Linked DNA regions of Coturnix japonica. The main gene of each other region encodes a partner of the protein of the gene in region 2 in a complex. Links are inferred from orthologs where the notes say so. Each region holds a gene or a part of one and is shown on either strand. Other genes may lie near its edges. The genes, in order: LSM6, PPIH, PRPF8, PRPF3, PRPF4, SNRNP40 and LSM4.

Region 1 (4,118 bases), on a different chromosome or scaffold from region 2:
AAGACTTAGCAATAGTAGACGAGCCCCCAGCTTCCATCATTAAGTTCAGCTGGTAAAGGCCACAGCAACTCTTCATGTTAGAACTTTGTCACCATTTATGTTTGAGGTGAAGAAGCTATAATGGAAACTTTGTGAGCTGCGAAGGACTGAAAACTCCCATTGTAATTTATGACCTTTCATCTGAGGCCAAATGTAAAGGCAATCACAATTGTTCTATATCTCAAGGCTGGCACATAGCAGATGTATGAAGTTTGGAAGTGTTAGACATAAACTTTTATTACCAAATTATAAATAATTTCTACCACTTACAATGTTCACCTTTCAAGTTCATCTTGATTAAAACACACGGGCAGAATGTCACTGATTTCAATGAGTTTTATACAGCTGGAAAAATGCTCTCTGCTTTGTGGAACGATAAAGCAATGCCATATTTTAAAGAATGTACTGATAGCAACGCATGCAAAGTTTTAGACCCAAATCCTTTTTCATCTAGATGACTGAAGCAAAAAGAAGAACCATTAAACAGTGGGTCTCATTTTTTCACACTCGAAGCTTTGAAATCTGCGAGGAGTCTACAGAATGGATTACATAATTCCTTTGAAAACCACCTACCTGAGCACTGGGATTGTGTGACTCAGGAAACAACACATTCTTTAGGTTGTGTATTTACAGTTGTGATTACATTATATAATCTTTGTGAATAAGCAAGAGAGAAATTTTCTTTCCCAATGCAAAACCCACTACACCAACATGCTCAGCAATGTGTCCTATTGCACAGAGGTTCATTTACTCAGTACAGCATGGAAGACTGTTTCAAGGCTTATACAGAAAACCAGGACAAATTTGCTAAGGTGTGGGTTCATGGCTCAGCCTCAAGCCATAGAAGTGGCGAGCTAAGGATACAACGTTGTCCATCTCTATTTCAGTCTTTCGGAATACATATGTTTGTAAATTTAGGACTAAAAAGGAAATTAGAAGGATTTTGTTGACTGGCATCAATGAACCAAGTATCCATAGACAGAAACGATAAAAATAGACAGAAACTATAAAGATAAGTTTAAAACGGACACAGATGAGGTTTTGCAGAGGTCAGGCCACAGCTGGGTGCAGAAGCAGAAAGCTGCTCCCCGTCCTTTGGCAGCAGGTGATCCCATCCAGCTCCTCCCTGCAGCGATAGAGGCGGCGCTACTCAGTGCAGCCACAACCCGCCCCGCTTTAGCGAGCGCGCCCGTCCCGCCGTGTCCCTGCCGCCGCGCCGTACCGCCCGCCGCTGATTGGCCGCGAACGCGGGGCCGGGCGCGCGTAGCAGCGGGTGAGTGTGAGCGGCGTTGTGTCTCGGCCCGGCCGCAATGGGGCACCGGGCGGCGGGGTGCGGGCCGGGCTGTGCCTCGGTGCGGGGAGCGGTGCGGAGGGACCTTTAAGCCCATCCACTTCCAGCCCCCTGCTGTAGGCAGGGACGCCTCCCTCTAAACCGGGTTGTTCGCATCCCCATCCAGCCTGGCCTTCAATGCCTGCAGGGTGGGATGTGCTGCTTATCCATATATCGGCTTTCACATCTATTCCCAGCGTACCGACACAAATCAAGATGAGCCTACGGAAGCAAACTCCCAGTGACTTCCTAAAGCAGATCATTGGAAGGCCTGTTGTTGTAAAGTTAAATTCTGGAGTCGATTATCGAGGTAAGATTCCACCTTGTCTGTGCAGTGAGATGTCCTGCTCCCTTTAGGCTGAGCCTCTCCAATAGCTCAGCCTCTACAATTATTTCTTTATCTCAGTCTTCGTTAAGTTTGGATGCTCTTATCATGCCTCTCCCATGAGGAGACAGGTGTTTTATTCTGGGATGATTTAAACGTTATGATCATGCCAGACATCGCTACTTCAGGTAGGTTTAATTCAGTTGGCTCATCTTAGTGCTCGTTTGTCCTTTGACAAGGAATCTTGGTGTTTGGACACCAGCCCAATGTCATACAGGAGTTATTTTCCTTTCTTTGTTTCCCTCCATTCTCCCTAACTCCCTCCTGGTGCTTACATTTGAGAAATGCACACTTCATTTCTCTACAGAAATTCGATCACTTGTATAAACCAAACATCAGGAAACCCAGCATCTCAGGCTTTTGTTGCAGATCTCTTCAGATTCTGCCTGTAGGCTACCCTTCTCATTTTATGTTTGCACCTCCACCCTCCCAGCCACTGTGAGCACAGCAGCTGCCTGGTTCTCACGTTGGTGTGCAGCTGTAAAATGTCTTGGTTCACTGCCAAGCGCTGTACTCATCTAAGAAGTCCTGGCAAAGTGCACGTGTAATCAGTTGTACAGATGGATATGAATGTAAAAACATTGCTGCATACTGATAAAAAACAGGCAAAATATGAGCCAGGGTGGGCAGCAACAGTATGTGATGCTATTAGTATTCTGGGAGTAAATACAAAGAAAAGAAAGACAACAATGAAAGAAATGAAGATGCACCCTGGCCAGTTGAGTGATAGCTTAAAAAAAAACCCCACAGCCCAACTTCAGCTTGGGGCAAACATTTGTTTTCTGTGGCATCTTGAAGCACTCAGGATTACTGGTGTGAAAATGTTGTCACTGACTTGGCTTGGAAGGTTTTGGTGTATTTAAAACACTTTGTGGCCAGACAGAATTTCCCCATTTATGTGGAAACAGGGATGAAAAACACATACAGGAAAATACCAATCCTCAAGCCATTACAAGTTGGCAAGAAAACTTGAATTCCTAATTATTTAATGGAGGATATTACAGTAACGCTTCTGGAAAATGAGAACATACCCTGGAGGAAGATTCTCAGACTGGAGTTCTCCCCCTCCTCAAATACAGCCAATGTACTGCATGTCTTCAGTTTTAATAGCAGGTAAATTAGATTCTTGTCCATTTTGGTAGTTGTATTTTTAATAGTGGTGTCTGTGTGCAAGGAGGAAGTCAGGAAACACACACAAACAAGATGGAGATGAGCAGCTTGTTAGAAGTTGTTTTATGTATGCAATTAGCAAATTGCATTGTGTACGTATTGCATTTTCTGAGCAGTTCTTCACATCCGTTAATCCCCACATTTAGTTCACTATGTAAATGTTCTGTTTGTACATCACTTAAATTTGGCTGAAGATTTCAGTGTCATATGAAAACCCTTTCCCCGTTGAAGATGTAGAATTGATTTACACAGAAATCACGCTGGCAGCCCATGTTATTCTGTCTATAAGAATGAAAATCACAGAATCACAGAATTGTAGGGGTTGGAAGGGACCTGTAGAGATCATCGAGTCCAACCCCCTGCCAAAGCAGGCTCCCTACACCACGTCACACAGGTAGGCGTCCAGGCGGGTCTTGAATATCTCCAGAGAAGGAGACTCCACAAGCTCCGTGGGCAGCCTGTTCCAGTGCTCTGTCACCCTCACCGTAAACAAATTCTTGTGCACATCCGTGCAGAACTTCCTGTGCTCCAGTTTCTGGAAAATAAATCAGAAAAATGTGCGTGGTGTCCTGTATTAGAAGGGTTATTTCTCACATATATCCTTGATGAGCTTTGGTCAAAACTCAGCTTGTAGCCTTGTTCTTAGGCTGCCCAGTTACACTTTATGTCACAGGTTCTTCTCAGGAGTTGGGCATAAAACAAAAGTAAAAAGCAACAACTAAACTTTCAGAATGGAAGATGTTCTCTTTCAAAGTCACGTCTCAGTGAGTTCTCCCCACCCAGTCATGTACAGGACCTGGAGTTCCCTACTCTCAGTTTAGTTCCTTTAATGCTCTCTGGGCTGCTGACTGACTCACCTGACCACATTTGGAAGTTTAGTTTGCTATGAAGATACAATTTTTTTCCTTGTACTGTTCAAATGCAAAGCCGTTTTGTTTAGTTCAGAAATAAGCTAAAGTTGATTCACTTTTAAACTATCACTCTCTTTAGGTGTCCTGGCTTGCCTGGATGGCTATATGAATATAGCTCTGGAACAGACAGAAGAATACGTAAATGGACAGTTAAAGAACAAGTATGGGGATGCATTTATCCGAGGAAATAATGGTAACTCCTCCTTCTTGTGCTGTATGTACTTTTTACAGCGCTTCTTTTCAGTGCCTGTGCTTTTCCTCAGACCTGGATGAGTTCTGTTCA
Region 2 (3,979 bases):
GTAGTACTGTAGAGCTGAGGAGCCTGTAGTGGAACGGGGGACGCCTTCAGGTCCAAGGCTGTATGTTGAAATTGAGGGTCTGACATGCACATCCCCCTTTGAAAGTCTCTGTTGTTCCAGGACTTGAAGAATGCCAACTTCTCTGAACGGCAGCTCCAGAGTAAGGTGTCAGCACCACCTCCCCGTGCCAGGTATTGTGGGTTAAAACAAAAAGGAAGGGGGTGGGTTACTCCTTGCCTGTGGGAAGGCAGGAATTGGGCTCAGCCATGGCCCTGTGCTGCCTCGCAGAGGCGCACCGCGGCTGTGCAGGCGGCAAGGAAACAGATAATGCTTAAAGTGACTGAAGAGCTGAATGTGTTTTTAGTTTCCTACCACGGGAACCACCAGACTCCCTCAGCAGCCTGAAGCCTGTGCTCGATTCCAAGCCTGAAGGAGGAGCTGAGAGCCAGGACTCGTCCTTCTGCTTCTCCCCCTCTCAGCCTTCAGAGATCGGGTACCTGAACGTCGCCTCACCTGGAGACACTGCAACCTCCCAGCTGCAGGAGGAGAGTCAGAGCATCAGCTCCGAGAACATGTAACCTGGGGACGATGTAAAGTGCAGGCTGCCAGGATTCAGGCTCCTGTTGTCATACAAGATTGAAAGAGGGAGTGTTGGCAGATGATAATTGGTGATTTCTGTGGTATCTCAATTATTCAACAGCTGCTTTCTTTAATAATTAACATGGCCAACCTTAAAGGTGTGTGTGTATCTCAGCCCAGAGCTGCAATCTGCAGACAGACAAAGAACGGGGGTGGGATGAGATTTATTTCCCTTCATCTGCACTCCCTGCTTTCCAAGCTTCCTCAATAAAACATGGACCGGTTTCCCTGTGCTGGGCCGTACCGCCGGGTTCCTCCCTTCCCCTCTGCTCTGTGCTGAGACGGGAGCGGCTGCCCCCGTGTGGCTGAAGGAGAGACAGGCAGGAAGCAGTAACGGGATCCGCGGGGCTCCATTCACTCTATGGGGCTCCATTCACTCTATGGGGCTCCATTCACTCTATGGGGCTCCATAGAGCGCTGTGAGCTGCCCGACCCGCTCCCTCCGCTCTACACGCCGTGGCTGCAGGCGGTTCCACAGCCGCCATGTTGTCCCGGCCTCCCCACCCACGTAGATGACGGGATGACGTCACACGCACAATTTCCGCTCGTCAGAGCGTGCGTAGCCCCGCCTCTTTTGCCCCACTTCCGCTTCCGGTTGAGGCCACCATCATGGCGGTGCTGGCGGCCAACCCCAACAACCCGGTGGTGTTCTTCGACGTCACCATCGGCGGGCAGGTGAGCGGCACGACGGATCCGCTTCTCCGGGCCCATCCCCGCCTCATCGGCTTCTACAGGCCGCAGCCGCTCCCCTTCGGGCGGGTTTAGGATCCCCGGCGGTTACGGGAGGAGGAGCGGGGGGAAGAGGCCTGGCTGGGGGGCGGGGGGGTGTGTGGGAGCGGGGTGAGCCGGCCGTGTCTGTGTCTGTATCTGTATCTGTGTGTGTCTATGTCTGTGTCTGTATCTGTGTCTATGTCTGTATCTATATCCATGTGTGTCAATATGTGTGTCTATATCTGTGTTTGTGTCTATGTAGGAGGTTGGCCGCATGAAGATCGAGCTGTTCGCTGACGTGGTGCCCAAAACCGCAGAGAACTTCAGGTGAGGAGCAGCCTCTGTGAGCACGGTACCGTTATATCGTGATATAAACCTCCTGAGCTCGTTACATATCGCAGCTTTCTCAGTATCTCCTCAAAGCTCTGTTGTGAAATGGAAGCGTTGAGTGGTTCCCATTGATTCCTGTTTCATCCCCATTGCAATAACCCAAGTCCTGCACAGCATTCATTGTTGAATGCCGCCTTTGTGCTCTCAAAGTTCAGAAGTGGTTCATACTCGGCTTTTCTCTGCTGTTTCTTTTCCAGGCAGTTTTGTACCGGTGAATTCAGGTATGTGGTTTATCTTCTCCTTTTATCTACCATCCTCAGACAATACTGGGCTGGGAAAGGGCTCACTTGGAAGGTTTCCTTACCTGTGTGAAAAGGGGGGATGCAGATGTCTGTGCTGCAAATTGCAGTGGGATCCTTTTGAGCTGATGAAATGGATGCTGCAAACAGCTGTGGCCATTCAGGGTTTCCCTTGGCCTCTGGTAGTGTGAAATTAAGCTCCAGGATGGGCTGAAGGAGGTGGGTTGGTTTGGTAGGTGATGTATTAGGCCTAATGTACAGGGCGTCCCTTTGGGGGTGTGAGCTCCTGGGAGGGTTTTGTGTTGGGACTTACTGTGAGTTGTAATGATTTTCCTTTTTATTTCCTTGTAGGAAAGATGGCGTCCCCATAGGTTATAAAGGAAGCACATTCCACAGGTGGTACTTCTGCTTTTGTTGAGAGACTCAGTAGCAGTAGGTGGCTTTGGGACCTGCCTCAAGGGCTTCTGCTGTCTGCCCTTTGGGTGCTGTCAGATACTGTTAATGCTCACAGATTGTATATACTGCTCACTGGTCGTATATACTGCTCGCTGGTCGTAGGCTGTAGTGTTTGCAGACATTCACAAGACATTTTTCTCCTGGGAACTAAGTATCATTTTCCTCTTTTAGGGTAATAAAGGATTTCATGATCCAAGGAGGTGACTTTGTAAACGTATGTACTACCACGTTGCTTTTGTCTTTGTCCTGTGCTGTACAGCACACAGCTCATCCTTCCCATGTTTTCTCTCTCTTAGCAGTACGATGGTATAACTGGGGGCTTTTCAAACTTGCAGAGGTTTTCTTTTCACCCTGTTGTCCTTCCTGTTTCTCCCATCCCCCCAGTAAGAGGCAGAGAATCTCCACTGTATGTGTGAGAAGAGATGCTTAAGTACACAAACCAAGCAGCTATTCCAAGGGATAGTACAAATCAAGTCAGGCTTAGTTATTTCAAGTTCACGATGCAAAAGTAAACGCTGTGGCAGACTAATTGCCTCTCTTGTGCAGGGAGATGGCACTGGAGTAGCCAGTATATACAGGGGTCCTTTTGCAGATGAAAACTTCAAGCTGAAGCACTCTGCTCCTGGCCTGCTTTCTATGGTGAGTATAAAATGAAGGCTGATAGCTTTTGGTGTTTCCTCTCTGCACTTTTCCTAACTTTATACATTGTATTTGGCAAACAGTAGGAATCTGCAGTTGGCTGGGGGGTCTGAAAGGCCTGTGTTTTAAGTAGCAGTCAGAAGGTTGCTCGTGAAGTGAGTCCTGATCCTCCAGAATCCTTTCTTCTTACCTGTCAGAGTTCAGGAACACGTTTTATTTGCTCAGCTTCCATAAAGGCTTGAGGATTGCAGATCTGGTACAGTGATGAGTGATGGGTCTTTTTCTTTCCTTATGCCTCTGTTGAACACTGACCTTAGCAAGGAGGAAACAAAGACTGCGGAGTTTCAGAGCCACAGCAGTGTTAGTGTGAAATCTTTTATAACGTTATTTCCCCAGTGTGATGTTGTAGCCAGTAAAGATTTTGTGTACTTGCACACGGTAGCAGGGCCTGACTTGATAATGCACCGTGACCAAGCACAGGTGCTGTCCTGCAAATGTCTGTCTTGTTTCCTTTGGTTTGTAAAGCAGTGAGCTCAATAAAATGTATCCAGGTTAGAGCTAAAGCAGCAGCTCTTTCTGCTGTGAGATGTCTCTGCCTTCAGCTTTGGGAAGTCCTAATTTGTATGCTTTGCATTTTGACAAATTCAACCTGCAGGCAAACAGTGGTCCAAGTACTAATGGGTGTCAGTTCTTCATTACGTGCTCCAAGTGTGACTGGTTGGATGGAAAACATGTTGTGTTCGGTGAGTACCTGCCGTGCAGGCCTGGCATACAGACTCTTACACAGTTTCTGTGGCACAGGGTCAAAAATAAGCAGCTGTGGATTTGCTTGTTCCTTCCCCATCCATTGTGCCAGCAGAGCTATTTGTGCAGCCAGGTATTGAGATGCGTCATTAGGAACATTT
Region 3 (3,500 bases), on a different chromosome or scaffold from region 2:
CTTGAAGGTACTTCTGTCTTGCCTGAGGTTGCCCAAGCTGGTGCTGTTTCCACAGGCAAACTTTCACTGACTAATCATGGTGTTGTGGTTGTGCAGGATGGGCCTTACATCACTGCAGAAGAGGCCGTTGCCGTGTACACAACCACAGTGCACTGGTTGGAAAGCAGGAGGTTCTCACCCATTCCATTCCCCCCACTGTCCTACAAACACGATACCAAGTTGCTCATACTGGCCCTGGAGAGGCTGAAGGAAGCTTATAGGTAAGCACAGGGAAGTGACGAGTTTCTCTCAAGGGTCAGATATCTGCTCTGGGAAAGGCTTCTGAAACTGTTTTGTTATCCGTTATTCCTGGAACTGAGTGCACCATACCATTTACCTGGAGTGGGGCAGGTTGAGGCTGTAGGATGTGGTACTGCCAAGGCAGCCTGGGCATTCTTTCATGGACTCTGCCAATTGGGGCTGGATGTGAATTGTGAAGAATAGGAGATCTTGTCTTGATCTGCTCAGTTGAGCACTTATCTTTCATAAATTCACTGCAGCAGATTTTAGTTTGTTCATTCTTGAGTGCACAAACTGTTGTTCTTTCTCACTTTCAGTGTGAAATCTCGCCTGAATCAGTCACAGAGGGAGGAGCTGGGCTTGATTGAACAGGCTTATGATAATCCTCATGAAGCTCTGTCCAGAATCAAACGACACCTTTTAACTCAGAGAGCCTTCAAGGAGGTGAGTATTGTGGTGAAAACCAGAGCATACATAAAACTTACAGAATACGGGTACAAAATGGCAGCAAGATTATCAAGAGTGTTCTCTGTCAGGTGTAGACTTCAGATTTACCTTCTCTTTTCTAGGTTGGCATTGAGTTCATGGATCTCTACAGCCACCTGGTTCCTGTTTATGATGTTGAGCCCTTGGAGAAAATCACAGATGCTTATCTGGATCAGTACTTGTGGTATGAGGCTGATAAAAGAAGACTCTTCCCTCCGTGGATCAAGCCTGCTGACACTGAACCTCCTCCACTGTTAGTGTACAAGTGGTGCCAAGGTTAGTGGGGTCTTGTGTTCCATGGTAGAATGAGTATTTTTATCAGGAGCTATTTTTATAAGGATCCACTTAAAAGCTGGATTTTCATACTTGCAGCAGTAATACCATTTGTTGCTACACTCTGAGGCTGTATTTTGTAGGTTAACACTGGAAGAAGAGAAGTTCTGTAACATTTGTGATTGATTACATATTTCTGTTCCAATTTCTGGGTAGACTGGAAGGAAAAATGGGGCTGAAAAACACTACAGAAAATATACTGACTTCTCAAACCTGGAAGGGTGCTTCTGCACTCAGAATTGCCACATCACATAATGTGACACAGTTGTTTGTCTCCTCAGGCATTAATAATCTGCAGGATGTTTGGGAAACAAGTGAAGGTGAATGCAATGTGATGCTGGAATCTCGATTTGAGAAGATGTATGAGAAGATTGACCTGACGTTACTCAACAGGCTGCTGCGTCTTATTGTCGATCACAACATTGCTGACTACATGACAGCAAAAAACAACGTGGTGATCAACTACAAGGTGATGATTACTATCAGAAAAGTGTGTGGACTGTATAACTGAGTGGGGGTTGGCGGTGGTGGTGAAGGTGGAACTGGGACACAAGACTTGCTGGGGGAAGAGGTGATTAGGGGAGTAAGAAAACCCTTCTGGGCCCTGTTGAAAAGCAGATGCTCAGATAAAGGTTTTTGGGGGATTGTGAGAGCCAGGTTTCTCACACTTCTTTTTCCTCAGGACATGAATCACACAAACTCCTATGGGATTATTCGTGGACTGCAGTTTGCTTCCTTCATTGTCCAGTATTATGGGCTTGTGATGGACCTGCTGGTGCTGGGTCTGCACCGTGCCAGTGAAATGGCTGGGCCTCCCCAGATGCCAAATGATTTCCTCAGCTTCCAAGACATTGCAACTGAGGTGGCCCATCCCATTCGCCTTTTCTGCAGATACATTGACCGCATTCACATCTTCTTCAGGTGAGAGCTCACTGGGTCCTTTATCTGTGTGGGCAGTCCATCTGAGAATGATGTTTATGTCACCACAGACCCTCTTCTGTTCATTTCCAGGTTTACAGCAGATGAGGCAAGGGACTTGATTCAGCGGTACCTGACAGAGCATCCAGATCCCAACAACGAGAATATTGTGGGCTACAACAATAAGAAGTGCTGGCCTCGGGATGCTCGGATGCGCCTCATGAAGCATGATGTCAACCTGTAAGCGATGCAGCCTTAGAAACACAAGGGGTAGAGAAGTGTGAAAATTAGTTGTGATAAATAAGTAAAGAGGAGTTTTGTGTCATAGTGTTGACAGAGAGTGATTGGTGTGAGAGACCATAGTGCTGAGAAAGCACTGAGAGCTTGTCCAGTTTGTATTTCACTTTAATTTCAAGGCCTGGCCTCACTGTGCATGCCTTCTGTTTCAGTGGCCGTGCTGTATTCTGGGATATCAAGAACCGCCTGCCTCGATCCGTCACCACAGTGCAGTGGGAGAACAGCTTCGTGTCTGTTTACAGCAAGGATAACCCCAATTTGCTGTTTAACATGTGTGGTTTTGAGTGCCGCATTTTGCCCAAATGCCGCACCAGCTATGAGGAGTTCACCCACAAGGATGGTGTCTGGAACCTGCAGAATGAGGTAGTTTGGCAGGCTGGGAAGGCAGTCGATTCTGTTGTCTGTAGCTGGCATTAGAGCAAAGCTTGTACCTTTTTTGTGGGGAGTACTTGGCAGCATGCATTTGGCAGCTGTGTGCCTGGAAGCATTGACAGGTAGAACTAAAAAGAATTCAGGAGCTTTCTTTCCTGCAAGGGATGGGAAATCCTTTGGGAGTGATAAGGGAGGACCCAGAACTGTTCAGGCTCTTCCCTTCCTGTGCTTTGTAAGTGACCCGTAGCCCTGTGCTCTCGCAGGTCACCAAGGAGCGCACAGCTCAGTGCTTCCTGCGCGTTGACGATGAGTCTATGCAGAGATTCCATAACAGAGTGAGGCAGATCCTCATGGCGTCTGGCTCGACAACCTTCACTAAGGTAAGGCAGAAGTGAGCTGTGTGACAGAGCTTCCTGCAGATGCTTGAAGAACGAGCTGAGAACTGATCCCGTGCCTTCCTTTTTAGATTGTCAATAAATGGAATACAGCTCTGATTGGCCTGATGACATATTTCCGGGAAGCTGTTGTAAATACTCAGGAGCTGCTTGACTTGTTGGTGAAATGTGAGAATAAAATCCAGACTCGAATCAAAATTGGTCTGAATTCCAAAATGCCCAGTCGTTTCCCACCCGTGGTATTCTACACCCCTAAAGAGCTGGGAGGTCTGGGTATGCTCTCTATGGGACATGTTCTCATCCCACAGTCTGACCTGAGGTGAGTAATATTGCCTGATCTGAACTGCCCACATGATTTAGGGGCTCTGTTAGATATTCTTTCCCATTGAAGTATTTAGGAATGCTAAACCACAACTTGCT
Region 4 (4,290 bases), on a different chromosome or scaffold from region 2:
GATCTATGCAGGGCTCGGCATGGAGGAAAGAAGCTCATTTATTGTGGGGTGGGCGAGCAGGGAGAACAAGAAGTGATAATGAGGTTTGATCTTGTAATGCAAAGCTTCAGCAGGCAGAAGGGGCAGCAAAAGGGGGAGATATAAAGGCTGGATAAAGGACAATTAGAAGCAGAAGGGTCAGTGAAAGGGGGAGATTTATAGGCTGGATAAAGGCCATTAGAAGCAGCTGGGCTGTGTTAGGAAGTGGCCATGAGGGAGGAGAAAGATGTTGACCTGCAGAATCAAACTCTATAATCCAGAGATGGGTTATAAAGCAGGTATGTTTATTCCAGCATTGCGTAGCGCCGGGTGCAAGGGGGATAGCTCCACCAAACATGCACACCGACTTGTAAAATCATGACACAGATCTAGGTACACTTAATACATAGTCAATGATTTCTGATACATATTCAATGATTTCTTAGACTTCTAATACATTGTCAATAGTTCTAGGAATTCTGATACATATTCAATAGCTCTTTAGCATGCAGACCCCCTCTTGTTCTTATCAGGGGGAATGCAACTCCTCATCCGTGAGGTCTCACTCCTTATCTGCATCCTCCCTGCTCTCCCATAGAATCACAGAATGACCGGGGTTGGAAGGGACCTCAAGGATCATGTAGTTCCAACCCCCCTGCCTGGCAGGGCCACNCAAGGATCATGTAGTTCCAACCCCCCTGCCTGGCAGGGCCACCAAACATACACCTTTACTAGATCAGGTTGCCCAGGAGACCCCATAGATCCCCATAGAGACCCCATAGATCAGGTTGCCCAGGGCCCCATCCAACCTGGCCTTGAACACCTCCAAGGACGGGGCATCCACAACCTCCCTGGGCAGCCTGTTCCAGGCTCCCAGGCCCCTTGTTTCTTTTACTTGTTACCTTTAAGTTTCTTTTACTTCTTTCTCTAAACTACCTTTAAGTTTCCTGCTTCACTCTTCAATGTGACTCATGTTCTCCCCCCACAGGATCCTGTCTCAGGATGGCATCGTTGAGTCAGTGAAGCAGGGCCGGTACTACGAGAAGCCGTGTCGCAAGAGGCAGCGCTTGGCTTATGAAGCGTGCAGGCGTGTGTACAACACTGAGATGGCCCGCAAGATCTCCTTCCTCGCCCGCAAGAGTCGCATGGACCCATGGCTGGGCTGCTAACGGGGTTACAGCCGTCTGTCCTCATGGCCGTCTGTCCTTTGGGTGCTGCTGCTGTTAATAAATGCTGTGTGCAGCGCTCTGCTTCGGCCACGCTCGGGTGTTGCGGTTGGGGGTGGGGGGAGAAGCGCTGGGTTTTGGGTTCTGGGTGGCGTTAATGGGCCGGGCTGGTTCCGCTCGCCCCCACGTGGTTATTTCCCGCCACGCGGGGCGCGCCTTTTCCACCGGTTTCCCGCGCTCTCGTGTCACGTGAGCAAAGCGCGCGGCTTCACTTCCTTCCTTCCATTCTTTCCCGGCAGCCCTCAGGCGGGCGGGACGCGCATGCGCAAAAAGATCCCCGCAGCCATTTCCGCTTCCGCCCCGACGTGCCGTCGCCGTCAGGCCCGTTGTCGCCGTCCGGGCCCGGGGCCTGCGGGGGCCGCGCCCCGCCGCGGTGAGAGGCCGCGGGGAGGAGGGGAGGGAGCGGCTGAGGGGAACGGGGGGGGGAAGGACCGTGAAGGAGCGGATCTGAGGGGACTCGGGGCCCGGCCGTGACGCGGGGTTGCGGGGCGAGGCCAGGCCCCTCCGCTTGGGCCCAACGGGAGCGTTGAGTTGATGCGCTTAAACCCGGGGCTGAGGTTGGGGCTGAGGTTCGGGGTTGGGGTTCAATTAACTCATAACGTTAATTAGAGCCGCTAATTGAAGAGGATCCCTTCAGGAGTTGTGGGAGCTGCCGGGGAACCGAAGGGCTGCGGTTGTTGTGGTCTCAGCATCACGTTAACCGTGTTTTGGGAAGCACCGGAGGGATGTTGACAATAGAAGGACACGGGGAAATAGTTTGGAGTTAAAAGAGGGAAGATTTAGGTTGGATGTTGGGGGAAGTTCTTCACTAGGAGAGTGGTGAGGCCCTGGAACAGGCTGCACAGGGAGGTTGTGGATGCCCCGTCCTTGGAGGTGTTCAAGGCCAGGTTGGACGGGGCCATGGGCAACCTGATCTGTGGGGTCTCTATGGGGATCTATAGGGTCTCTGGGGTCTTTATGGGGATCTATGGGGTCTCTATGGGGTCCATAGGGTCTCTGTGGGGTCTCTATGGGGGATCTATGGGGTCTCTGGGGTTTCTATGGGGATCTATGGGGTCTCTGTGGGGATCTATGGAGTCTCCTGGGCAACCTGATCTAGTAACTGTGTGTGTATGGTGGCCCTGCCAGGTAGGGGGTTGGAACTACATGATCCTTGAGGTCCCTTCCAACCCAGGTCATTCTGTGATTCTGTGGGGTTTATGGAGTCTCTATGGGGATCTATTGGGATCTATGGGGTCTTTGGGGTCTCTGTGGGGTTATTGGGGGTTATATGAGGTTATATGGGGTTATGGGGTCTCTATGGGGTTATGGGGTGGATATGGGGCCTCTATGGGGTTAATGGGGTCTATTGTGGGTTGGAACTACATGATCCTTGAGGTCCCTTCCAACCTGGGTCATTCTGTGATTCTATGGAGGGATGAGGGTCAGTGGGTGCCTCCATGTGGGTGTTACCTGCCCGTTTTCTGCTCCTCTTACGCCCTCAAAGTCCCATAGAGCTCCCAGCACCGACGGCTGTAGGAGCGGCCCAATGATACTGATATGGGGGGGGGAGGGAAATACTATTGGAGCGGCTGCTCTTCTTTCTCCGTCCTCGTTAATTGCAGAAGTTGAAGAGGAACGTGAAGTTTAAGCCAAGTGTGAATTAATCCTGTTTAGCCTTTCTGAGCAAGCATGCAGAAAGCTGTAACGCATCAGCAGTGCTGATATGGCATAGTAATCAGTTATCTTGATGCATCTTGACGCTCAATTAACCTCACCTTGAAGTATTACCTGCTTCCAAGCCTGGACTTAATGATGAATTACTGTAATGATGCCCCTTTGGGCTGTATCTGATGCTCCTTTTTAATGTATCTCATTGAAACCTGCTGTAAAAGAATACAGGGCTGCAAGCTGTGTCCAGCCTTCTCCCTATGGATCATTAGGAGCTTCCCAGCTGATGCTTCAGCCCCTTTGCTGCTCTTTCAGATCCTTCTCTTGGCTGTTTTTCAGTCTCTAACTTGAGAAGCTCTTTGTTACCACATCCAGGATCTTTGCTCTCAGCTTTAGTGATGATAAGTGTATTTTGGATGCTGTTTGCTCTCATTTTAAGGTAAAGGCTCCACAAGGTTTCTCCCATGGGCATGAAATGTTGAGGTCAAACATATTTCCTTAAGAAGATTTTCTCCTGTTTCCAGATAAAGGAGACTTGGTTTCCAAATCAGATTAGTGCCTGGCTACGTAATTAAACATTATTGCATCCGCTTCATTGCAGCTTGTGTTAAAGAACTGCTAACGATTAACGGTGGGAAATTATTGTCTTGAGTCTGATTTGGAATTGGATTCAGTAGGAGCCAACAGGGCAGCAGTGCTGATCTGCTGCTTCATTTAAGCAGCAAACACAAAGGTAGTCAGGCATGTGCTGATTGTTAAGTATCAGTAAACCTAAATGAGATTGAGTTCCCCCTGGTCATTATAAGGGAGGCAGCCTAGAGCTGGGAGTGTGCTCGGAGTTGTATGGGAACCTTATGGGAATGGGAAGAACTCGAGGTGATCCAAGTGTGTGTGAGATGTTGCTGTATGTGTTTAAGGTGTTGTTGTACATGAAAAGCTTCTACTTGTGCTCCTGGAAGTGGTTTGTGGGGCATCTCTAAGTGGGCTGGCGTGAGTGTAGCTGACAGCTGATTCAGGCTGTGTTAGCAGGAGAAACCACGGGCTGAAGCAACACCAAGACCAAGCTTTTCTCCTCCTGTGTGTGAGAATCTTAGAATTATAGGTTGGATGTTAGGGGGAAGTTCTTCACTAGGAGAGTGGTTAGGCCCTGGAACAGGCTGCCTAGGGAGGTTGTGGATGCCCCGTCCTTGGAGGTGTTCAAGGCCAGGTTGGACGGGGCCCTGGGCAACCTGATCTGTGGGGTCTCGATGTGGATCTGTGGGGTCTCCTGGGCAACCTGATCTAGTAAATGTGGATGTTTGGTGGCCCTGCCAGGCAGGGGATTGGAACTACATGATCCTTGAGGTCCCTTCCAACCCGGGTCATTCTGTGATTCTGTAATCTGTGTGTGGAAGTG
Region 5 (4,225 bases), on a different chromosome or scaffold from region 2:
TACCTCTGACTATCTCTAAAATAAAACTTCTGCTTGACTTGATCTTCTTGCTATCAGTGAAGCTTTTTAGCCACCTTTCCTTTTGCATTCAAGTGCCCAGACTTGAATTCTGACTGTTCCAATCAGAGAAGGATAAGTTGGAACTATGCAGTAGCTGCGGCTTTTATAACATAAGTTCAGTCCTGCTTGCTTTTCTGCATCACTGTATGTGCATCCTCCCTTGAAATCATCTCTTTTGAGGGTTAGTAACTGTTGACAGTCCTGAGGAGCCTCCCTGTGCCCCAGCCTCCCTCCTGCCCACCTGATGCTGTTTGCTTCCCCAGTCTGAGCAAAACCTGCCCACTGTGATACCGACTTGCACTTAGTGCGTTGGATGTTGGATGCCATCCTGGCCTTTATGCTGGCTGTATTTCAAGCTGTCCCAGTGTTAACACTAAACTTGTGTTGAGTGGTGCTTAGAGGGAGGTGAGGACTCTAATATTAGATTATTAGACTTGAGTAAATGAAGTTCACGTGTCAGCATATGTAGCATGCTTAGAATGTGATCGCTGTGTCTGTGAGTGCACCCTGATACTTTGTCTTTACATGTCTGTAGGAAGCACAGTGTATCCAGGCTGTGTTCATCCCTGAGCTTCTGTTATTTCCCCCAGTGCCTTCTCAGTTGGTCTGCAGCCCCAGCAGACCCAAAAGGACGGATAGTTTTGTTTACAGCAGACTGTCACTTTTGATTTTCCTCTTGCTCTTTGTGAAGGTAACTTATCTAGTAACGTATCAAAGATCTCCTGTATATAATTAACTAATAAAGCAGATGCATTTTACTGTGGCTGTGTGCTTTAAAAACAACCGTCAATGCTGCAGCTGTGCTGAGTGAAGGCTTTTACTTCCCCGTGCAACCAAAGGAGACCCAGGAGCTGGTGTCGGTTTGTAAAAAAGCCCATTTATTAAAACAGCCTCGTGTGGCTCCGTTCGGTACCGGGAGCAGCGGCACCGTCAGAACTCGAACGTGCCGAAGTGCGCGGCTCGGACCCCGGCCTTGTGCTGCGGTTTGTACCCGATGCGGTCGTTGATGAGCTGCTCCCGGCTCTTGTGCTCGGCTCCCAGCGCGATGCCCGCCGCCTCCTCGCCGCCCGCCACGTCCGCCTCGTCCCGCTGCTTCTTGCGGCTCTGCGGGGCGGGGGGGCCGAGTCAGGGCCCCGGTGCCCGGGACAACCCCCGACCCCTGCCGGTCCTTCCCCTTCCGTCCCCGCGCACCTCCAGGTCCTTCCGGACTCCCTCGAACTCCTCGATATCGTCCAGTTTCAGCTCCAACCTCGTTGGTTTCCGTCGCAGCATCGCTTCCGCCGCCTCCCGGCCCCTTCCGCTCTGTCACGCACCGCCCGCCCCTTCCGGTTTACCCGGTGTGACCCGCCGCTTCCTGTCCGTCACCGGAAGTGCTCCGTTAGGCCGTCGGGCAGCGCAGTGATGGCGGCCGTGCGGGCACCGGTGGCTCGAGGCGGGGCGCGGCCTGCGGCTGTGAGGGGCCCCGCACCGCCTGAGGTACGGGAGGAGATGGGAAGGAACGGAGCTGGGAGGGCTGTGACGGGTCGGGCTGTGACCGGTAGCGCTGCGGCTTTGGGGTGTTATCACAAGATCCTGTGGTTTCCGTGCCGTGTCCGTTATGAGGTCAGCTCTGCACTCAGCACACACGGATTCCTATCGGTTCTGTCTTTCCTTTGCAGCCCACGAAGAACAAACCGTCCGAGGATGGCGATGCTCCCCCCGCCAAGAGGGCGCCCATCTTCTATGGCAGCCTGGAGGAGAAGGAGCGGGAGCGGCTGGCCAAGGGGGAGCCCGGGCTGCTGGGGAAGGAGGGAATGAAGGCGGCCCTGGAGGCCGGGAACATCAACATCAGCAGCGGTGAGAGCACAGCAGCATGGGGTGGCCTTTATTTAGTGTAATCGAAAGTCACTCCAATAATATCTGAGCATACATTAGGTTTGATAAGGGGAGGCTTTTCCCTGGGTTGCCAGCTCTCTGTTGGGATCTTCCTGTTGGAGGAGGATCTCCTGTCCAGCTCCTGTGTCCAGGCTGATGGTTTTGCTTTGGTGCAGGTGAGGTCTTTGATCTGGAGGATCACATGAGTGAGCGACAGGCCGAAGTCTTGGCTGAGTTTGAGCGCAGGAAGCGAGCCCGGCAAATCAACGTCTCCACGGATGACTCTGAAGTGAAGGCCTGTCTGCGAGCCCTCGGGGAGCCCATCACGCTCTTTGGAGAAGGTCCCGCAGAGAGGAGGGAGAGGTGCTGTGTCTGCCCTTGTGTGTTGCAAAGAGGGAACGCTCAGCTTCCCCCACTTTATCATATTCCCACTGTTTTCCTTGTAGTTGGCGTGCAGCGAGTGCTGCCGGTCTGTGTTTGGTTACAACATAACAAGAAAGAATGGAACACAATGAGTGTTTGTCCACCAAGTGAACGTAACCTAACGTGTTTCCTTTCAGGTTAAGAAATATCCTCTCAGTGGTCGGCACAGATGCATTAAAAAAGACAAGGAAAGATGACGACAGGTCGAAAAAGTCTAAAGAAGAGGTAATGATTTCTCAGTGCCGGAGGAGATTTATACAGTCATCTTTGAATACCTTATTTTGGTGGTCTCTGAGACATTCAAGACCTGGTTGTGGTCAGGGTGCAAATTCTAAAATCATCCCTTTCTTTTTCTTTGTTGCCCATTTTAGCAGAACTGTCAATGCACTGTTTAAATCGGCAGCATTAAGCTTTTTTTTGGCTTTGTTCTTTTCCTTACAGTATCAACAGACTTGGTACCATGAAGGACCACGGAGTCTGAAAACAGCAAGGCTGTGGCTTGCTAACTACTCGCTTCCCAGGTAAGGAAAACTAACATCAATGAAGGGGAGAAGTGCAACATTTTGTAAACTCTTAACTACTAACCACATTGTGGGTAGTGTAGTAAATTTGAGATCAAAAGAATGAAGAACATGTTCCGGTAGACAAATCTGTTAGCCCAGTAATGGGGAAGTGAGGGTTTCTAGCAGCAAGGCATGGGAAATGTGAACATCTGGTACTTGATCTTTGTTCTTCACAGGGCAGCGAAGCGTCTGGAAGAAGCCCGGCTGCTCAAAGAGATTCCAGAGGCAACCAGGACATCGCAGAGACAAGAACTGCACAAATCCCTACGAGTAGGTTTGCCATCTGTTCAACTGCTGCTTGTGAACGTTTTTTCTTGAATTTCAAAGAGATCAGAAGGATCGAGCTGCCTGGAGGGGCTGTCCAGATGTGTGTAATTTGCTGTGCTGCGCCTTGAAGAGCTTTGCATTTTCTCTCTCTTCTAGTGGTACTCGTGTTCTAGCTCTGTTTCTGCAGTTGTACAGAGAAATCTGCTTTTGTTGTATTCTAGCACTGCAGAGGGATGCAGAGACACATCCCTGTGTTGATTTGCCTCTTACCTTTGAAGCTAAACAGATTGCTTCTTTTCAGTCAAAGCTTGAGTTGCAAAGCAGGGCATCAGTATGATTGGTGGCAAGTATGGTGGGTGGCATACTGAGTGCTAAGCTGAGCCATGGAGCTGTGCTAGTTTCTCTTAGTCAGATAAACTCCATAATCCTCCTGCTTGGGGCTAGAGTAGCTCTGAGGTAACATCTCTCTTTGGAAGTGATTTCCCTGTGGTCTCTGACTTCTGCTTCAGTCACTGGCCAGGACTGTCCCTAAGTCATTTGTATTTATTCATTGTTTTCTCTGTATTTTGTTGCAGTCCTTGAATAACTTCTGTAGTCAGATTGGGGACGATCGCCCGCTGTCCTACTGCCACTTCAGTCCCAATTCCAAACTCTTGGCTACTGCCTGTTGGTAAGTTCTCTTCAAAGCATTTACTTTAGGGCATGGTGTCCAGTCTTTTGGCTTGCCTGGTCCGCACTGAGTGTTTCGTCTCTATAAACATTCAGGAATGTCGATGAATGTCAGCAGGTGCCATTTTGTCCTCAAGGAGGAATTCAGTGACACACCTTTTGCTCCATGTGTGTTTCCATGTCAGATGCTGTTTTGTCAGACTGCCACTTTCCCACTGCAGAAGCCCTTGGTGTAGTTTGTTTGATAAGCTGTTTGATGTTCCTGTCTACACTGACTTCTGTTTCTTGTGTTCAACAGGAGTGGACTGTGCAAGCTGTGGTCTGTGCCTGACTGTAACCTTGTTCACACCTTACGAGGTAAAGAATGACTTTCACTGATATCCTGTGTA
Region 6 (3,500 bases), on a different chromosome or scaffold from region 2:
CTTCACCGTGTCAGGCTGCCCACACTGGGACCAGCCATGAAGGAACAGGTATTCATCACCTCATGCACTGCTGCTGCAGCCCAGTGGGACTGGAAAGAAGGGTCATGTCTCAGCTGCCAGCTGTGACAGCTGGCCCCACTATATCTGCACAGTATGAGCTAAAGCTCTCCCTGTCGTCTATCAGAAGCTCATTAATTTGCTGATTACTGCTGTTCCATGCCTTGGACTCCGGCCTGCAGGAATTCCTGTCTCCATGTCACTGAGAGTGCACCTGGATCTGCTCCAGCAGGTTGGTATCCTTCGTGGCGACCTTCAGTGTCTGGCAGGGACCCTCTGCTGCCCTCCTCCCTCTGCCCAGTTTACCCTTTGGTTATCCAGTCTACAGAAGCTCTCATTTAAATAAGTCAGATATGTGCTAATTTAGTCAGAACTTAATTTCCTCACACCTGTTAATTAAGTAAGGATCACAAACGATCCTCGAAACGCCACTGGTGCTCCCTGCTAGCTTTGACTGATTCTGGTGGTCATTATCAGCACAAAATGCAGCACTCTGCAGCAATCTGCCAGAATCTTTGCCTTTGGAGAAGTCTCACAAGAATCTGCTGCTATGACTGCAAGAGACCTCGCATGCTGCCAGCTACGCTCCCGTCATCTGCTTGTCCATCTGTTGGATGCAGTGACTGAACACAAGCAGAAATGGAGCTCTCTAGAAGGTTTCTGACAACAGTAATAAGGATTTTACAACCATATAGTGCTCCTCCGCTGATGCAAAGGCAATATGAACACATCTCTGCTACCATTGCTGCAGACAATGCTCACAGATTACCACAGGGGGTTGTTTGGGTCTTCACACCTCCATGCACAACTCTGGCTCTTCATATTCATTTTAGAGACTATCCAGGCTCATTTCAGCAGTGATTGCAAAAATGGTTTGGCATTGACAGTAACAGAGAAACACGGTGATAACTCACCTGTCAGCAGATCCCCCTGCTATCTTACTCCCATCTGGAGACCAGGAGCACCTCAGAAGATTCTAAGACAAAACAAAACAATAGGCACAGTTCCATTTCCGAAGAAGATTTAGCTTTTCCCTTCCAGTTCAAGTAAAATCACTATGAGACTTTAAGTATCAAGAGCACTACTTTAATGATCCCTCTTCAAAAGATTCTCATCAAGTAATTAAAGATTTTGTTTTATTGTTGGAAACATCCAGTGCCTTGTTATTTTATACAACATGTGTAGAAAATACTTCATTTACAGCTAATTATAGCCAAAGTGAACAAAGAAATTTTGTTACTACAGCTTTAATTGGAATCTCACTTTGTGCGTTAATGTTTCTTCGAGTCCTTATTAAAGTCTCACTGGTTAAAACTTTAACTTCCCTGTAAACTGTTCTTTAAGTTCATGTGGCAACGCTGTATAAATGAGTGTTTAGGTCTGTAATACACTCACCTTTTCAAAATTATGCACATTCCCCTGGAAGATCTTCACACATCTCTCTTTTGGGGCAAACGGTCGCACATCCCAGATGCGAACTGCAACAGAGCACACAGTAATTAGCAGGAGATACCAGAACTACAGGGGCAAGGTCAGCTGCTAATGATCAAAGATCTGGTTGCATTCCTTGTTCTTTTCATGCCCGTTTCCTTAGCTAAAGGATACCAACAGCCTCCCGCTGCAGGAAGCTGTGATATGAAAGGTAAAATGCAGTAATTTATAATTACATTAAGACCACTCCCAACAGGAGGGGAAAATTCCAAAACAACTACTACACAAATGAGCTACTGTCTCCTCACATGAGCATTTGCTTTATTCTAATACACTTCATGATCATACTTCTAATCAGATCAGCTTCACTGAGCACCCATACGCAGGAGATGAGCAGTCTGGAAACAGCACTGTCATTCCCTGCTGCAGGGAAGCAGCTGAACCACTCTGACAAAAGCCAGACCAAGATTATGTTCAACTGCCTGTGCAAATAACTTGTGCCACAGCCCATGTCCTCATTGCCCTTTGGGAGACGTGACAAACCTTTCTGATACAGCTGCTCCTTCTCTACAAAGGATGTAACTGTCACGGTTCAAACAAAGAGAACTGAAGGTTTCTCTGCAGACCCTGCCTGCATTCCGCCCACCTGACTCTCCTATTTTAGCACATTGACCAATTTCAGCTGCTCCTTCTGAAATACCACACACAGCTCTTCAAAGGCAGAGGCTGACAGTTGTCTGCACAGCTGTGCTGTCACATTTGGCAGGACATACCTGTGTTATCCATTGCGTTAGAGAGCAGGTAAGAACCTTCTGAACTCAAACTGAGGCCTGTCACTGAGTCTGCATGTCCTCTCATCGTGTACGTGAGCTTGTTCTGGCGAAGGTCCCACACCTTTCAGACAGCAGAGACAAAATTGTGGCTTAGAATGGACAGACAAGACTATTAGCAATGCTCTTTCCAATTTCATGCAAGTACTGATCAGCCATCTGATGAATAACTTTCCACTTGCAGTTGGGTAAGGTCTGAATGGCTAAAATATAAGGCTATAAAGTTATGTGTTGTCCTCTAAAGGGCAAATTTTCCCCCCCATTTCTTACCTAACGTGTCCAACCACATCAGCAGAAAATAGTTAAATTTCAGCAGCTGATGTACGCAGGATTTCCTTTCAATCTGGCCTAGCTCCCTCAGCTCCCAAATTCCACTGACCCATGGCACAGAGGAGCAGTTATCCAGTCTTCAAAATTTCATGCTGTTCTTTCTCTATGAGTTACTGCCATTCAAAGGGCAATTAGAAGTGAAATCATTTCAGTGCTACGCTTAGTGGTGGCCCTCTGACAAGTATGTGCTCCCCATGCCTAGGTAAGACTGGAGACTGAGGCCAAAAAGACAGCAAGGCTGACTGAACTGTGAAGCTATCTGGAGAATCTCAGCTACCAAGTGAATGAACACTGAGCGTGCTCTTAAATAAGAACTTTCCACAGTAGCAGGTGACAAAGTAAGTTATTGAAGCAAGGGTCAGAGAACATGGATGTGTCACCAAATTTTCTTTAGCGTACAACATATATGGCTCTAGAGCCTCTGTGAGGGGCACCAGCTGCCAGAAGAGCTTGCATACCATATCAGTGGCAGTGTGTGACGCTAAGATGCATGGCCAGTCACATGGCAGACAGCCCTGGAACAACTATCTCAGAGTTTTCTGGCCTTAGATCAAGACACTGTGGGTCAGTGCAGTTCTCGTGACAGTAAAATTAACCACATTTGTCCTTGACCAAGGCATTTTGCGTGCTGCTAAAGCAAATTTTGATGGGATGGAAAAGGTGAAGGTGGTTGGAAAGAAGCACAAGGACACAAGCATCATACCTTAATATCGTTGTCAATGCCCCCAGATATGATCTGATCACTGGTGTCATTAAAGGTTACAGCCAAGACTTGGTAAGTATTCTGAAATGTCTGGACAGCAGCTTTTTTCCTGATATCCCACAGCTGAAAAGACATTGTGTTGTAAAACT
Region 7 (3,929 bases), on a different chromosome or scaffold from region 2:
CTGTTGCATCCCACCACGGCCTCTGCCTTTGGAGACCACCTCTTCTTTCACCATGTCAATTATCTCATCGGGGATCCGAAGGTATTTAATTGTGCTGCCACGGATGTAACACTCTGGCATCCTCCAGAACTTGTCACCATCCTATTGGGAAGCAACGTGTTAAGCTGAGAACAAAACCACGTGCACTTAAGTTGCTTTTTGACACTTGAATATCTCCATCACTTCTGAAGCGTGCGACAGATGTAATAGTCTATTCTGAATGTACAACCCATAATTAGCTGTGAAATTCCTGTTTTCCCTTTAAAACACGCAGCCCTACAACCTGCTGGGGAGTCAGGGGGCGTTCAGCCATGAGCCACTGCAGTTTCAGCCCGTTCACAACCGCCTTTGACTCTCACAGAAAGTGAAGGAAGAAGAGGAAACAGCACCTTCCCTTTGCTTCTCATACAAGAAGAGAATCGAAAGTGGGACTGGAGAGGGAAATGTGGTAAGTTCAACACAGCTGCTGCAACACGGGGCAGTTCCAGCACATAAAGCCCCAACCAGAGTCACCTACAAACTGAACCCCTTTGTGGTGTGGATTGAGCAGCGAGGAGCATCCAGCTGGGTGTGGGGTGAGCCCAGCAGCGCACAGGAACCGCGGCTGTGGAAAATAAGAGCTTACAGATCACGTTCAAAGAAACCTTCGGGTGCCAAGTTACGGAGCAGCTGCCTCTGTGTTTTGTTTAAGGCAGTTTCAGGGCTTTGCTAGGACACAGCCCATCAGGGCTTCAGCTCCTGTGGCTGTGGGAATAGGAACTGCATGTGAAAGTTGAACAACAACTGATGTAAGCGGGAGGAGGGATGGAACCTCGTGCGCACGGCCGTGCTCTGCTGCAGGGCTTGGCTGAACACAGGCTCCTCACAACTATCACACATGGACAGAGTGTCCACAACATCCCAGAGGAGTGGGTGAAACCAGAATGCCTCGTTTCACCTCTCCAGAATCAAGTTGTACCCCCCTCCTCCTCTGCTCCGGTGTTATTTGGGGCAATGCAGCATGCACAGGCAAGTTCCGTGTGTGTGAGACAAGCAGCCTTCTTCAAACAGGCACCCAGCAAACCCCACCCTGCCTGGATCCGCCCGGCTGCACTTTGGCTCTCTATGCAGGAAGGGATGGAGCCAGGTCCCCGGCTTCCTCGTTCCAGCTCCCCATGTAAACAGCTGCCGCAGCTCCATGCCATCTAGTGGCTGATCCCCACCGTGCCACCAGGAAGGCTTCCATATATACCCCCCCAGTAGCACCCAGGGGGTATTTAGGGGTGGGGAGTGAACTGCAGACCACTCGGTGGGTATAAATGCTGAAGTGCTCTGCCCACAGCAACACAAAGCTGCTTAATGAGGAAGCAGTATTAAAGGCCGGCATCCCTTGTTCTGCAAGCACTAGTAAGGCTTTGCCACTTGCCACCCCTTCCCATTGAACTTATCTGTTTATCTGCCCCAACAATCTGTGGATCCAGATTTTTAGGGCTCACTGCTCTGCTGTTATGATCCTTCTTAAACCTTTGCTTTGTTTAAGTACACACATCACATCTCCGTGCCCCAGCACTATTGGCCAATACCTTCCTGCTGTGGGTCCAACAGGCACAGAAACCCTTCCTGAAGAAGAAGGGTTTCCCTGACAGCCTCCCCCACAGACCCGTGATGTTCCCAGGCACAGAGAGCAGCAGCAGCAGCAGGAACGTGGCCAGGCACAGGCTGCCAGGGACAAGACCAGACACTTGAGGCTGAGGTCAGAGCTCAAAGCACAGATCCCAATCTCTTCTCGGAGCACTTTGGCCATGGGCAAAAGTAGCAGACGAGGCACAACCCGGTTAAACAAGAGGCCCTAATAACTTTTGATGTGGAGTTACAGGGCGTGAGGCAGGTGATGATGAAAGGCAGCACTGTGCTCGATGGGGCTGCATGGAGCGGGCAATGGGACAGGACCTGTCACCAGCCCTTCACACTGAGCACCTTCACCCTGCTGTCAATGGGCTCATTCGTTTCTTACACCTCATAACTGCGTTACATTCACATTCAAAGCAAAAGCAACACACACAGAAGGGTGAGGATCTCTGCGAGTCCCACTCAGCTGCAGGGCTGGGGGCTGATAGCAATGTGGGGTCTATGGGCGCAATGGGGGGTCTATGGGCGCAATGGGGGGGGTCTATGGGCGCAATGGGGACAACTCATTCCTGATCTGCTTTGATGCTGTTCAAAGTAGGGGGTCTATGGGCGCAATGGGGGTCCTGGCATTGAGCTGGTTACCCGTGAGGTGCAGATGACCTCCCGCAGGTTGATGTTCATCCAGTTGTCGCAGCTCACCAGGTGCCCGTTGTACGTCTCGCCGTTCTTCAGCTCCACCAGCTGGAAGAAGCAAAGGGGGGGGGTCAGCATGAAGGAACCGGGACCGACGGGGCGGCACGGGGACCCAACGGGACCCGACGGGGCGGCACCGGGCCCATAGGCCGCAGCGGGAGTGGGCCGGGACTCACCATAGGGTGGTTCTGCGCCGTCTTCAGCAACGACAGGGGCAGCTGCGGGGGAAAGAGAGAAAGGCCTCAACAACCGGGAACCGGGACCGCCTCGGATCCCCATGTAGGGGCTCAGGGAGTACCGGGACAACCGAACCGGCCCGGCCCGGCCCATTCCCGCACTCACCATCGTGCCGGAACCGCGGAGCCGCCGCCGCGCCGGGCGCTGCCGCTCAAACCACCCCCGGCCCCACACGGGACCAATCAGAGCTCGGCGCGGTCCTCGCGGAGCCAATCAGCGTGCAGGACCCGCCTCGGCCGTAAAGCATCGCCGAGGTTGGCGGTGCACAGCGTCACGACAGTGCCGTAAATTGAAACGCCGAGCGGGAAGCGGCACGGAGCGGCGCTCAGGAGGCGCTCTAGGCAGCGAGGCGGCGCGCACTCTATGGTCGCGCGGGGCCGCTCTGGTCCTCGGGGCGGCGCGTATTCTATGGCCGCGCGGGGCCGCTCTGGGCGTCGGGGCGGAGCGCGCTCTATGACCGTGCGGGGCCGGTCGCTCAGTGCGGTGCGGGAGCGGAGATGGAGAAACCGCGGAGGGCGGTGGTGGTAACGGGTACGGGCGGATGGAACGAGACCGGGGGGTGGGGAGGGGACGGCAGGGTGGGCTCTGATTCCATTATCTCAACGGGGGGGATGCGGGATTGGGAGGGGGCGGTGAGGGGCACATGGGGGTGTCGGGGTCCTGGTGGGGGTGTACGGGGATTGGGAGGGGCGCGACGGGGCTGCGGCGTGTCACAGACCCCTCCGGTTATACCCCCCCCCCCCGGTCCCCGCTGTATTTGTCCCATCTCTTGCCCCGGGGGGGTTGGGGGGTGGTCTCTGCTTCAAACATTCAGAGCTGATGGTGCTGGATCTGCCCCTGATGGTCGCACTGAGACCCCATTGCAACCCCATGAAGGTCTGCAGGGTGGGCTCAGTGCTGTGTGCCCGGCAGGACCCTGTGCTGGGTGTGGGGTGGCTGAGGCTGGGTTTGGTGCTACCCATAAAGTTGCTCATCTGATATGCAAGGAATCGATCTGGGGGTCGGTGTGGAGGATGAGTGAGGGGGCAGCTCAGTTGGGTTCAGAACGAGAGGTTTTGGTTACATTGGGGTACCTGGAAAGCTGGTGTGATTCATATTGAAACCATCCCAATGAAACACCTGTTTGGTGCTCTCACATCTATAGCTTATATATGGAGAAACAACAAGTGCATTAGGATCCTGTGGGAGCCTTCAGGAGGGTTATTATGGGGAGATATTGATGCTGGTTCCGCTTGGAGGCTCAGGTTGATACTGAGATCCCATTGAGCTGTACAAAGCCCTGTTGCTGTTGTGTGCGGTGTAACCTCAGCCCTCCCCTTCTGCTGGCAGCACATGGGAGGTTTCCATTAGTG

What was found.
Region 1: PPIH (region 2) and LSM6 share a complex: the UniProt entries of both Homo sapiens proteins name them as parts of the U4/U6-U5 tri-snRNP complex. The link is inferred for Coturnix japonica from reciprocal best matches to the Homo sapiens genes PPIH and LSM6.
Region 3: PPIH (region 2) and PRPF8 share a complex: the UniProt entries of both Homo sapiens proteins name them as parts of the U4/U6-U5 tri-snRNP complex. The link is inferred for Coturnix japonica from reciprocal best matches to the Homo sapiens genes PPIH and PRPF8.
Region 4: PPIH (region 2) and PRPF3 share a complex: the UniProt entries of both Homo sapiens proteins name them as parts of the U4/U6-U5 tri-snRNP complex. The link is inferred for Coturnix japonica from reciprocal best matches to the Homo sapiens genes PPIH and PRPF3.
Region 5: the proteins of PPIH (region 2) and PRPF4 are in contact, whole or in part, in a crystal structure (PDB 1MZW), measured with the Homo sapiens proteins. The link is inferred for Coturnix japonica from reciprocal best matches to the Homo sapiens genes PPIH and PRPF4. Residues at the interface, in NP_006338.1 of Homo sapiens: Phe14, Arg26, Phe46, Cys47, Thr48, Gly49, Pro57, Ile58, Gly59, Tyr60, Lys61, Gln173, Cys174, Gly175, Glu176, Met177; in NP_004688.2 of Homo sapiens: Arg113, Gly116, Glu117, Pro118, Ile119, Thr120, Leu121, Phe122, Gly123, Glu124.
Region 6: PPIH (region 2) and SNRNP40 share a complex: the UniProt entries of both Homo sapiens proteins name them as parts of the U4/U6-U5 tri-snRNP complex. The link is inferred for Coturnix japonica from reciprocal best matches to the Homo sapiens genes PPIH and SNRNP40.
Region 7: PPIH (region 2) and LSM4 share a complex: the UniProt entries of both Homo sapiens proteins name them as parts of the U4/U6-U5 tri-snRNP complex. The link is inferred for Coturnix japonica from reciprocal best matches to the Homo sapiens genes PPIH and LSM4.

What each region holds. Positions count from the first base shown.
Region 1 is NC_029519.1:27,572,517-27,576,634, forward strand, and holds the start of LSM6 (U6 snRNA-associated Sm-like protein LSm6), read left to right. Parts: upstream 1-1,318; 5' UTR 1,319-1,507; coding exon 1,508-1,679; intron 1,680-3,914; coding exon 3,915-4,028; intron 4,029-4,118. UniProt on the Homo sapiens protein: Plays a role in pre-mRNA splicing as component of the U4/U6-U5 tri-snRNP complex that is involved in spliceosome assembly, and as component of the precatalytic spliceosome (spliceosome B complex).
Region 2 is NC_029536.1:5,567,302-5,571,280, reverse strand, and holds the start of PPIH (peptidyl-prolyl cis-trans isomerase H), read left to right. Parts: upstream 1-1,179; 5' UTR 1,180-1,248; coding exon 1,249-1,314; intron 1,315-1,612; coding exon 1,613-1,677; intron 1,678-1,937; coding exon 1,938-1,961; intron 1,962-2,330; coding exon 2,331-2,375; intron 2,376-2,606; coding exon 2,607-2,649; intron 2,650-2,981; coding exon 2,982-3,074; intron 3,075-3,729; coding exon 3,730-3,817; intron 3,818-3,979. Other genes in the region: CCDC30 (coiled-coil domain-containing protein 30), read left to right, coding at 121-191, 365-578. UniProt on the Homo sapiens protein: PPIase that catalyzes the cis-trans isomerization of proline imidic peptide bonds in oligopeptides and may therefore assist protein folding. Participates in pre-mRNA splicing.
Region 3 is NC_029534.1:4,149,342-4,152,841, reverse strand, and holds part of PRPF8 (pre-mRNA-processing-splicing factor 8), read left to right. Parts: coding exon 1-7; intron 8-96; coding exon 97-260; intron 261-596; coding exon 597-723; intron 724-848; coding exon 849-1,041; intron 1,042-1,379; coding exon 1,380-1,567; intron 1,568-1,780; coding exon 1,781-2,019; intron 2,020-2,109; coding exon 2,110-2,256; intron 2,257-2,465; coding exon 2,466-2,676; intron 2,677-2,948; coding exon 2,949-3,065; intron 3,066-3,151; coding exon 3,152-3,399; intron 3,400-3,500. UniProt on the Homo sapiens protein: Plays a role in pre-mRNA splicing as core component of precatalytic, catalytic and postcatalytic spliceosomal complexes, both of the predominant U2-type spliceosome and the minor U12-type spliceosome.
Region 4 is NC_029540.1:1,894,025-1,898,314, reverse strand, and holds the start of PRPF3 (U4/U6 small nuclear ribonucleoprotein Prp3), read left to right. Parts: upstream 1-1,490; 5' UTR 1,491-1,617; intron 1,618-4,290. Other genes in the region: MRPS21 (28S ribosomal protein S21, mitochondrial), read left to right, coding at 1,007-1,187. UniProt on the Homo sapiens protein: Plays a role in pre-mRNA splicing as component of the U4/U6-U5 tri-snRNP complex that is involved in spliceosome assembly, and as component of the precatalytic spliceosome (spliceosome B complex).
Region 5 is NC_029532.1:813,639-817,863, reverse strand, and holds the start of PRPF4 (U4/U6 small nuclear ribonucleoprotein Prp4), read left to right. Parts: upstream 1-1,425; 5' UTR 1,426-1,461; coding exon 1,462-1,536; intron 1,537-1,718; coding exon 1,719-1,896; intron 1,897-2,090; coding exon 2,091-2,277; intron 2,278-2,474; coding exon 2,475-2,562; intron 2,563-2,778; coding exon 2,779-2,858; intron 2,859-3,076; coding exon 3,077-3,170; intron 3,171-3,742; coding exon 3,743-3,837; intron 3,838-4,134; coding exon 4,135-4,193; intron 4,194-4,225. Other genes in the region: anaphase-promoting complex subunit CDC26, read right to left, coding at 991-1,164, 1,252-1,332. UniProt on the Homo sapiens protein: Plays a role in pre-mRNA splicing as component of the U4/U6-U5 tri-snRNP complex that is involved in spliceosome assembly, and as component of the precatalytic spliceosome (spliceosome B complex).
Region 6 is NC_029538.1:602,876-606,375, forward strand, and holds part of SNRNP40 (U5 small nuclear ribonucleoprotein 40 kDa protein), read right to left. Parts: intron 3,475-3,500; coding exon 3,352-3,474; intron 2,383-3,351; coding exon 2,262-2,382; intron 1,536-2,261; coding exon 1,453-1,535; intron 1,034-1,452; coding exon 972-1,033; intron 1-971. UniProt on the Homo sapiens protein: Required for pre-mRNA splicing as component of the activated spliceosome. Component of the U5 small nuclear ribonucleoprotein (snRNP) complex and the U4/U6-U5 tri-snRNP complex, building blocks of the spliceosome.
Region 7 is NC_029543.1:3,006,058-3,009,986, reverse strand, and holds the start of LSM4 (U6 snRNA-associated Sm-like protein LSm4), read right to left. Parts: upstream 2,801-3,929; 5' UTR 2,686-2,800; coding exon 2,683-2,685; intron 2,559-2,682; coding exon 2,517-2,558; intron 2,389-2,516; coding exon 2,290-2,388; intron 142-2,289; coding exon 1-141. Other genes in the region: PGPEP1 (pyroglutamyl-peptidase 1), read left to right, coding at 3,075-3,108. UniProt on the Homo sapiens protein: Plays a role in pre-mRNA splicing as component of the U4/U6-U5 tri-snRNP complex that is involved in spliceosome assembly, and as component of the precatalytic spliceosome (spliceosome B complex).